Macaca mulatta: one gene and its partner. The protein of the gene in region 1 interacts with the protein of each later gene in a biochemical or structural test. Links are inferred from orthologs where the notes say so. Each region holds a gene or a part of one and is shown on either strand. Other genes may lie near its edges.

Region 1 (3,887 bases):
CTACGCAGCTCAATGCGCATTTATACAGACCTATGTACTTGAAGCATCCTTTCATAGTTACCCTCCCACCACTCCCACCTTTTAAAATTCCTTCTTCCTGGTGTTCCGGTAATTCTCCCATTCTCTTACCTCACACATCACCCACAAACCAGTATTTTTAAAGTTAACTTAAGAGTTAAATCTACATATGTAAAATACTTCCATCTCCCAACAACTTTTTTGTCTTGCTGTTCCCCCAGCGGGAGGACAGTGGCACTCAGATCACAGCAACCTCCGCTTAATTGGTTCAAGGGATTCTCCTTCACCCTCCCATGTAGCTGGAATCACAGACACTCACACCTGCCTTTTTGTATTTGCAGTAGACATAGGGTTTCACCACATTGGCCAATCTGGTCTTGAAGCCGGCTTTTATTTGCACCCACCTTCTACAGTTCGTACTATATTAAGGTCAACCCCTTCACTGACATTTCACTGTTACCACAGCAACATTTGTAAACTGAAAACCTTGATCCCCTTCACCCAGTCTAATGCAAAATAACCTTAACTTTTAAAAAACCACACCAGTTGGGAATGCAACAACTTTATTGAAAGAAAAGTGCAATGAAATTTGTTGAAACCTTAAAAGGGGAAACTTAGACACCCCCCCTCAAGCGCAGGACCAAGTGCAGAGTGGACTCTTTCTGGATGTTGTAGTCAGACAGGGTGCGTCCATCTTCCAGCTGTTTCCCAGCAAAGATCAACCTCTGCTGGTCAGGAGGGATGCCTTCCTTGTCCTGGATCTTTGCCTTGACATTCTCAATGGTGTCGCTGGGCTCCACCTCAAGGGTGATGGTCTTGCCAGTGAGGGTCTTCACGAAGATCTGCATCCCACCTCTGAGGCGGAGCACCAGGTGCAGGGTGGACTCTTTCTGGATGTTGTAGTCAGACAGGGTGCGCCCATCTTCCAGCTGTTTCCCAGCAAAGATCAACCTCTGCTGGTCAGGAGGGATGCCTTCCTTGTCCTGGATCTTTGCCTTGACATTCTCAATGGTGTCGCTGGGCTCCACCTCAAGGGTGATGGTCTTGCCAGTGAGGGTCTTCACGAAGATCTGCATCCCACCTCTGAGGCGGAGCACCAGGTGCAGGGTGGACTCTTTCTGGATGTTGTAGTCAGACAGGGTGCGTCCATCTTCCAGCTGTTTCCCAGCAAAGATCAACCTCTGCTGGTCAGGAGGGATGCCTTCCTTATCCTGGATCTTTGCCTTGACATTCTCAATGGTGTCGCTGGGCTCCACCTCGAGGGTGATGGTCTTGCCAGTCAGGGTCTTCACGAAGATCTGCATCCCACCTCTGAGACGGAGCACGAGGTGCAGGGTGGACTCTTTCTGGATGTTGTAGTCAGACAGGGTGCGCCCATCTTCCAGCTGCTTTCCAGCAAAGATCAACCTCTGCTGGTCAGGAGGGATGCCCTCCTTGTCCTGGATCTTTGCCTTGACATTTTCAATAGTGTCACTGGGCTCCACCTCGAGGGTGATGGTCTTGCCAGTCAGGGTCTTCACGAAGATCTGCATCCCACCTCTGAGACGGAGCACGAGGTGCAGGGTGGACTCTTTCTGGATGTTGTAGTCAGACAGGGTGCGCCCATCTTCCAGCTGCTTTCCAGCAAAGATCAACCTCTGCTGGTCAGGAGGGATGCCCTCCTTGTCCTGGATCTTTGCCTTGACATTTTCAATAGTGTCACTGGGCTCCACCTCAAGGGTGATGGTCTTGCCAGTGAGGGTCTTCACGAAGATCTGCATCCCACCTCTGAGACGGAGCACCAGGTGCAGGGTGGACTCTTTCTGGATGTTGTAGTCAGACAGGGTGCGCCCATCTTCCAGCTGCTTTCCGGCAAAGATCAACCTCTGCTGGTCAGGAGGAATGCCTTCCTTGTCCTGGATCTTTGCCTTGACATTCTCGATGGTGTCACTGGGCTCCACCTCGAGGGTGATGGTCTTGCCAGTGAGGGTCTTCACGAAGATCTGCATCCCACCTCTGAGGCGGAGCACCAGGTGCAGGGTAGACTCTTTCTGGATGTTGTAGTCAGACAGGGTGCGTCCATCTTCCAGCTGTTTCCCGGCAAAGATCAACCTCTGCTGGTCAGGAGGGATGCCTTCCTTGTCTTGGATCTTTGCTTTGACGTTCTCGATGGTGTCACTGGGCTCGACCTCGAGGGTGATGGTCTTGCCAGTCAGGGTCTTCACGAAGATCTGCATCCCACCTCTGAGGCGGAGCACGAGGTGCAGGGTGGACTCTTTCTGGATGTTGTAGTCAGACAGGGTGCGCCCATCTTCCAGCTGCTTTCCGGCAAAGATCAGCCTCTGCTGGTCGGGAGGAATGCCTTCCTTATCTTGGATCTTTGCCTTGACATTCTCAATGGTGTCACTGGGCTCAACCTCAAGGGTGATGGTCTTGCCAGTCAGGGTCTTCACGAAGATCTGCATTGTCTAACAAAAGAGCCAAAAACCACCACCATTTAGCAGACAATGTACTAATCTTCCTAATACTTAAACTATATGTTATATTCACCCAAATGATTACAATTTAAAAGATACCTAAGAAACTTCACAAAATACACTCGCCAACCCCGAACGCATAGTTTAAAACTCAGACTTCAGCTACTTAAGAAAATAGGAACATAGAACTGACCAAAGAAACTGACGCCTCACTTATCCCTCCCCTCACCAGAGGTCAGGCCCCTGTCGACTCAGGAGGGCCTACCCTAGGCCCCAACCCTGCGTCCTGCGACGAAGAAAAGCCTACTGCACACCTACCGGCAGGTGGCCCCACCCCACATTATGAGCCAACAGAACGGATGACGTCACGACACTGCGAGGGCGCGCGCTCCTCAAGCTACGGGTGCACTGCCAAGTGGCACCGCCATTAACTGCCGCCCCCGCAACAGACGACAAAGCGAGTTCTCCGGTCAGTGACAGACTTCACATCAAGGTCCCCAAATGGTGCCCCAGCCCACCTCACCAGAATAAGAGCGTTCCCGCATTAGCGAAAACCTCAAGGCCTTGGGTTCTTGCCGCAAACCATGCCCCCCACCTTGTTTCAACAACCTCACAGCCCGCCTCACAACCGTCTTCCATTCAAGAGCCGGGAACAGCCGCCATTTTGCTGCGCTCCCCTCCCACCCGCTGCTCAGGGGCACCTTGCTCGCGGACCCAGACTACAGCCCTCGGCGGCCTCTCATCCCGCGGCGTCGGCCCCCCTCCATCCCACCGAGCGGCCCAGCGGCCACGAAAGCCATGGCCGGCCCAGCAGCCCTCTGCTCACCAAGTGGCGATGACACCGACACACAAACAAGAACTGCGATCCCACTCCCGGCTGCGACGGAACTAGCTGCGCCACACCCGGCGCGTCCTTATATAGTCATCGGCGTTCACCGCCCCAAGGAAATTCCTCCGCAGAATCGCCGAGAAGGGACTACTTTTGCTCGCCCGTTCCGGTCTCTGGAAAGAAAACCAGTGCCCTACAGTCACCCAAGTCCCGTCCCAAAATGTCCTCCTGCTGAGACTGGGGTTCTGGGACTGAGTCTGGTGGGCAGCGGGCCGCCGTCCTGAGCGCCCAAGCGGAAGAATCAGGGCGCTCGCTGCGCCCTGCGGCCATGACGTGGAGGCGCTCGCCGAGAGGAGGGGGCGTCCGCGGGAGGCGCCAAAACCCGGTGCGGACTCTGCGGCGCCAGGAGCGGGTGGGCAGCCCGCGTTCCTCAGCCGCGGCCCCTCCCCTCAGCCCCCGCGGTCCCCTCGGGTCGCGAACCCCGCGTTCGGCGGACGTGGGGCGCGGACGGAGCCCCTCCCGCAGAGTCGGGGTCTCCCTCCCCTCCCTCGCGACCCGCCCTGGCCCACCCCGCGAGACGGACG
Region 2 (3,564 bases), on another chromosome or scaffold:
CCTGCAGCTGGGGGTTCGGCGGCTGCTGCTGCTGCTGTCTCCCCAGAGTCCCAGCCATGGGCTGCGAAGCCTAGCCACCCACACTCTGCATGCCCTCACCCCACTTCTTTGACTACCTAGCAGTGGGTGATGGACACAGACATGGGGCTGTTAGCGTCTCTCTGTTTATTCGCTCACAATAATACACAGCCCCTGGATGGGGAGGGGGTAGGAGGGGCTACAACAGGGTGGGGTGGGAGGGGAGGAGGCATCCACTTTCCTTGCCCCTCTCCCCTCTGTGCTTGGGAGGGGGAAGGGAGGGAGGGGGCTCCCCCTAACCCCCCAGAATGTAAACAGCAGCAGATGAACAAAAATAAAAATACAAAAGGCCGGAGGAAGGTCCCAGGCATCCCCCAACCCCTGGCGTCTTCTCTGTCACCAGTGGAGGTCCCCCATCCACCAAAGCTGCCTCAGTCCAAGGGGCTGCCCAGTGCCGGCCACATCCCCGGGGGCAGAGTCCAGGGCTCAGAACTGCTGTGCCAGCAGCTCACACAGGTGACGGGAGACGGGCTCCTTGCTGGTGCGCAGGGTCAGCCGATACATCTGGGTGGGGACATTGGGGGCAGAACTCAGAGAAGATGGGGAGCCCAGGGAAGTGGGGACACAAGGGAGATAGAAGAAAGAAGGATAAAGGGGCCAGAAAAGTGATACAAGACACAGGAGAGGAGAATGTAAGAATGAAATCAACGGAGGAGCCAGAAAGGAGGGAAATTATAAATGAGAAGAGAAAGGTGGAAACGATATGGAAAGGTAGAAATCAGGGAGGGACAGGAAGAGGAGAGGAAGACCAGAGGTTGGAGACAGGAGAGAAGATTGATGGATAAAGAGGAGGAAAAGTGGACAAAGATGCGAGAGGAGGAGGGTCAAAGGGGGGACGTGAATTGAACAGTGAGGCAGGAAGAGTGGGCACAGAGATGACAGGTGGCCTTCCTGCCGACCTCAGGCCTCCCACAGCAGCACTCACCTGGGCCTGGGCGTTGGGTTCCAGCCGGAGCAGACAGCCCACCTGCAGGGCTTTAGTCTGGATGATCCCTGCCCCCACGAAGTTCTCAGGGTTGGGGTCCACATTGTCCAGGAGAGCAGAGCCAAATCCCAGAAGCTGGGAGGGAGGGGGGCCGCCGTCAGAGAGTGCCAGAGCTGTCAGTTACCACACAGTGGCATCCCAGATCCCAAAACCCTTGGGGATGGGAATTGGCCCCACTTTACAGATGGGAAAACAGAGGCTCAGAGAAGCAAAGCAGCCCTAGGCCAGCAAACACGCCCGCGGTCTCTCACCTTGGCCTTAGTAACTTCTGCGTCCATGGGGTGGTTGGCTTTGAAGATTTTCTGCGCCTCCTGTTGAGGGCTGGGGACCGGGAAGGTTCAAGTCAGGGACCTGGACGGCCCGACCCGCCCACCCGGAGGCGCGGCTTTGGCGCCGCCCCCTCCCCACCCCTCACAGGCTCAGCTGCTTCCAGCGCTGGAAGAAATCCTGGGCCGCCATCTCTGTGGGCTGGAAGAACTTGTTGATGGTCACTGGGAGCTTCAGGGTGAGGGCCTGGGGGGTGCCACCGTACCTGGTGGAGTGAGGGGGAGGCTCCGTTAGGCCCCGCCCCTCGCCCGGGAGGCCCCGCCCACTGGCCGCGCCACACCTCACTTACCGGAAGCGCACGGACAGCAGCGGGGGCGTCAGGAAGTCCCGCAGACACTCAATATTGAGCACCTGCTGCACCTGCGCGCCGCCATCCACCTGCGCCGCCACGCGCTTGGTCTGCACAGCCAGCTGTGCCCGCCAGCGGTCAAGGAAGCCAGACAGAGGCGGCGGGCCCCCGGGAGGTCTGGGTCAGGAACCCCAGAGCTGCCGGCAGCTCCCGCCTGCAGGTCTTTGAGGGACCCCATGGTGCAATCCTGGACTCAATCCTACAAGGTTCAACTACAAAGTTCATACTATGGAAACCTCTGAGGCGCCCCCTAGGTGCCTCCTTTGGCCTCCCACAATGTCACACCTCACTGAGACATAATAGTATTAGCTCTGGAGGCTGACTTGGGTTTGAATCCCATCTCTTACCCACCTGAGTGGCTGTGGGCAGCCACTTAACCTCTCTAAGCCTCTGGACATGTGTAAGATTGGGCAACATGGCAAGACCCCATCTCTACAAAAAAAATTAGCCAGGTGTGGTGATGTGCACCTGTACTCCCAGCTACTTGGAAGGCTGAGGCAGGAGGATGCCTTGAGCCCAGAAGATCGAGGCTGCAGTAAGCAGTGTTCGTGCCACTGCACTCCCGCTTGGGTGAGTGAGGCCCTGTCTCAACAAAAGGACATGTGTAAAATGTCCTCAGGAGTTGATGAAATAATCCAGCCGGGTGTGGTGGCTCACGCCTGTGATCCAGCACTTTGGGAGGCCAAGGTGGGAAGGATCACTGAGCCCAAGGGTTTGAGACAAGCCTGGGCAACACAGTGAGGCCTCATCACTATTTAAAAAAAAAATCCATTACAAGTACTTGTCTGTGTGCCCGGTACATGATAAGTACACAAAGATGGTAGCAATTAGCGTTATCGTCATCTGCATCCGTGTCAGTAGCCCACTGGGAAGGCCTGGGTCTCATGTTCTCTTGCCACTGCCTCCACGGAGCTGCCTGCACGAGCCTCTGGAAATTATGGAAGAGGGAATTTTGTTTCTGATTTTTTTTGAGACAGGGTCTCACTCTGTCGCCCAGACTGGAGTGCAGTGATACAATCTCAGCTCACCACAACCACCACCTCCAGGCTCAAGTGATTCTCTTGTCTTAGCCTCCTGAGTAGCTGGGATTATAGGCGCGCACCACTACCACCCAGCTAATTTTTGTATTTTTAGTGGAGATGGGGTTTCACCATGTTGGCAAGGCTGGTCTTGAACTCCTGACCTCAAATGATCCGCTGGCCTCAGCCTCCCAGTGCTGGGATTACAGGCATGAGCCCCCACGCCCGGCCGGAAGGAGTTTGGGGGTTGAGCTTTTCTAATTTCATCAATGTGGAAATGGAGGCCCAGAGAAGGAACAGGGGGTACTGATACCTCCAGCCACCCTTCCAGGGTTTTCCAGATACTCTGATCTTCACAATAACCCTATGAGGAAGAGGAGGGTCTACATACACTTCCCGGTGGGGACAGGAAGGCCCAGATAGGCAAAGTGACTCAGCCTAGGTCATACAGGAGGAGGCCCTGATCAGCGTCTGGACCCGCAGGCCTGGCTTCTGAGTGCAGGAGGTGCTGGCATCATGACATGGAGCCCAGTGGAGGATAATGGCAGGACACGGAAGGTGCCAGACAGGGACAAACTGAGGCCTGGAGCAGGTGAGTTCCGGAAGTAATGCCTCCCACACACCACTTCACTGTCATCTCCTGTCCTGGGGGAAGGAACCCCACCCCCATCTTACAGATGCAGACACTGAATCTCAGAGAAGTAACTGCGTGCCCAAGAGGGGCTAAAGAGAAGTGTGGACCTGGGTCAGCCAGCTTCCCCACGATGAGGAAGGCCAACCTGGAGAGGCAGGCCTGGAGGCAGGAG

The links. The genes of interacting proteins can lie anywhere in the genome.
Region 2: the proteins of UBC (region 1) and AP2A1 form a complex in vitro, tested with the Homo sapiens proteins (2 studies listed by BioGRID). The link is inferred for Macaca mulatta from reciprocal best matches to the Homo sapiens genes UBC and AP2A1.

Annotation. Positions count from the first base shown.
Region 1 is NC_133416.1:132,361,947-132,365,833, forward strand, and holds UBC (polyubiquitin-C), read right to left. Parts: upstream 2,463-3,887; coding exon 633-2,462; 3' UTR 565-632; downstream 1-564.
Region 2 is NC_133424.1:62,271,611-62,275,174, reverse strand, and holds part of AP2A1 (AP-2 complex subunit alpha-1), read right to left. Parts: coding exon of another isoform or gene 3,500-3,564; intron 1,939-3,499; exon of another isoform or gene 1,804-1,938; coding exon 1,680-1,803; intron 1,596-1,679; coding exon 1,479-1,595; intron 1,385-1,478; coding exon 1,315-1,384; intron 1,139-1,314; coding exon 1,004-1,138; intron 583-1,003; coding exon 505-582; 3' UTR 113-504; coding exon of another isoform or gene 1-112. Other genes in the region: FUZ (protein fuzzy homolog), read left to right, coding at 1-112.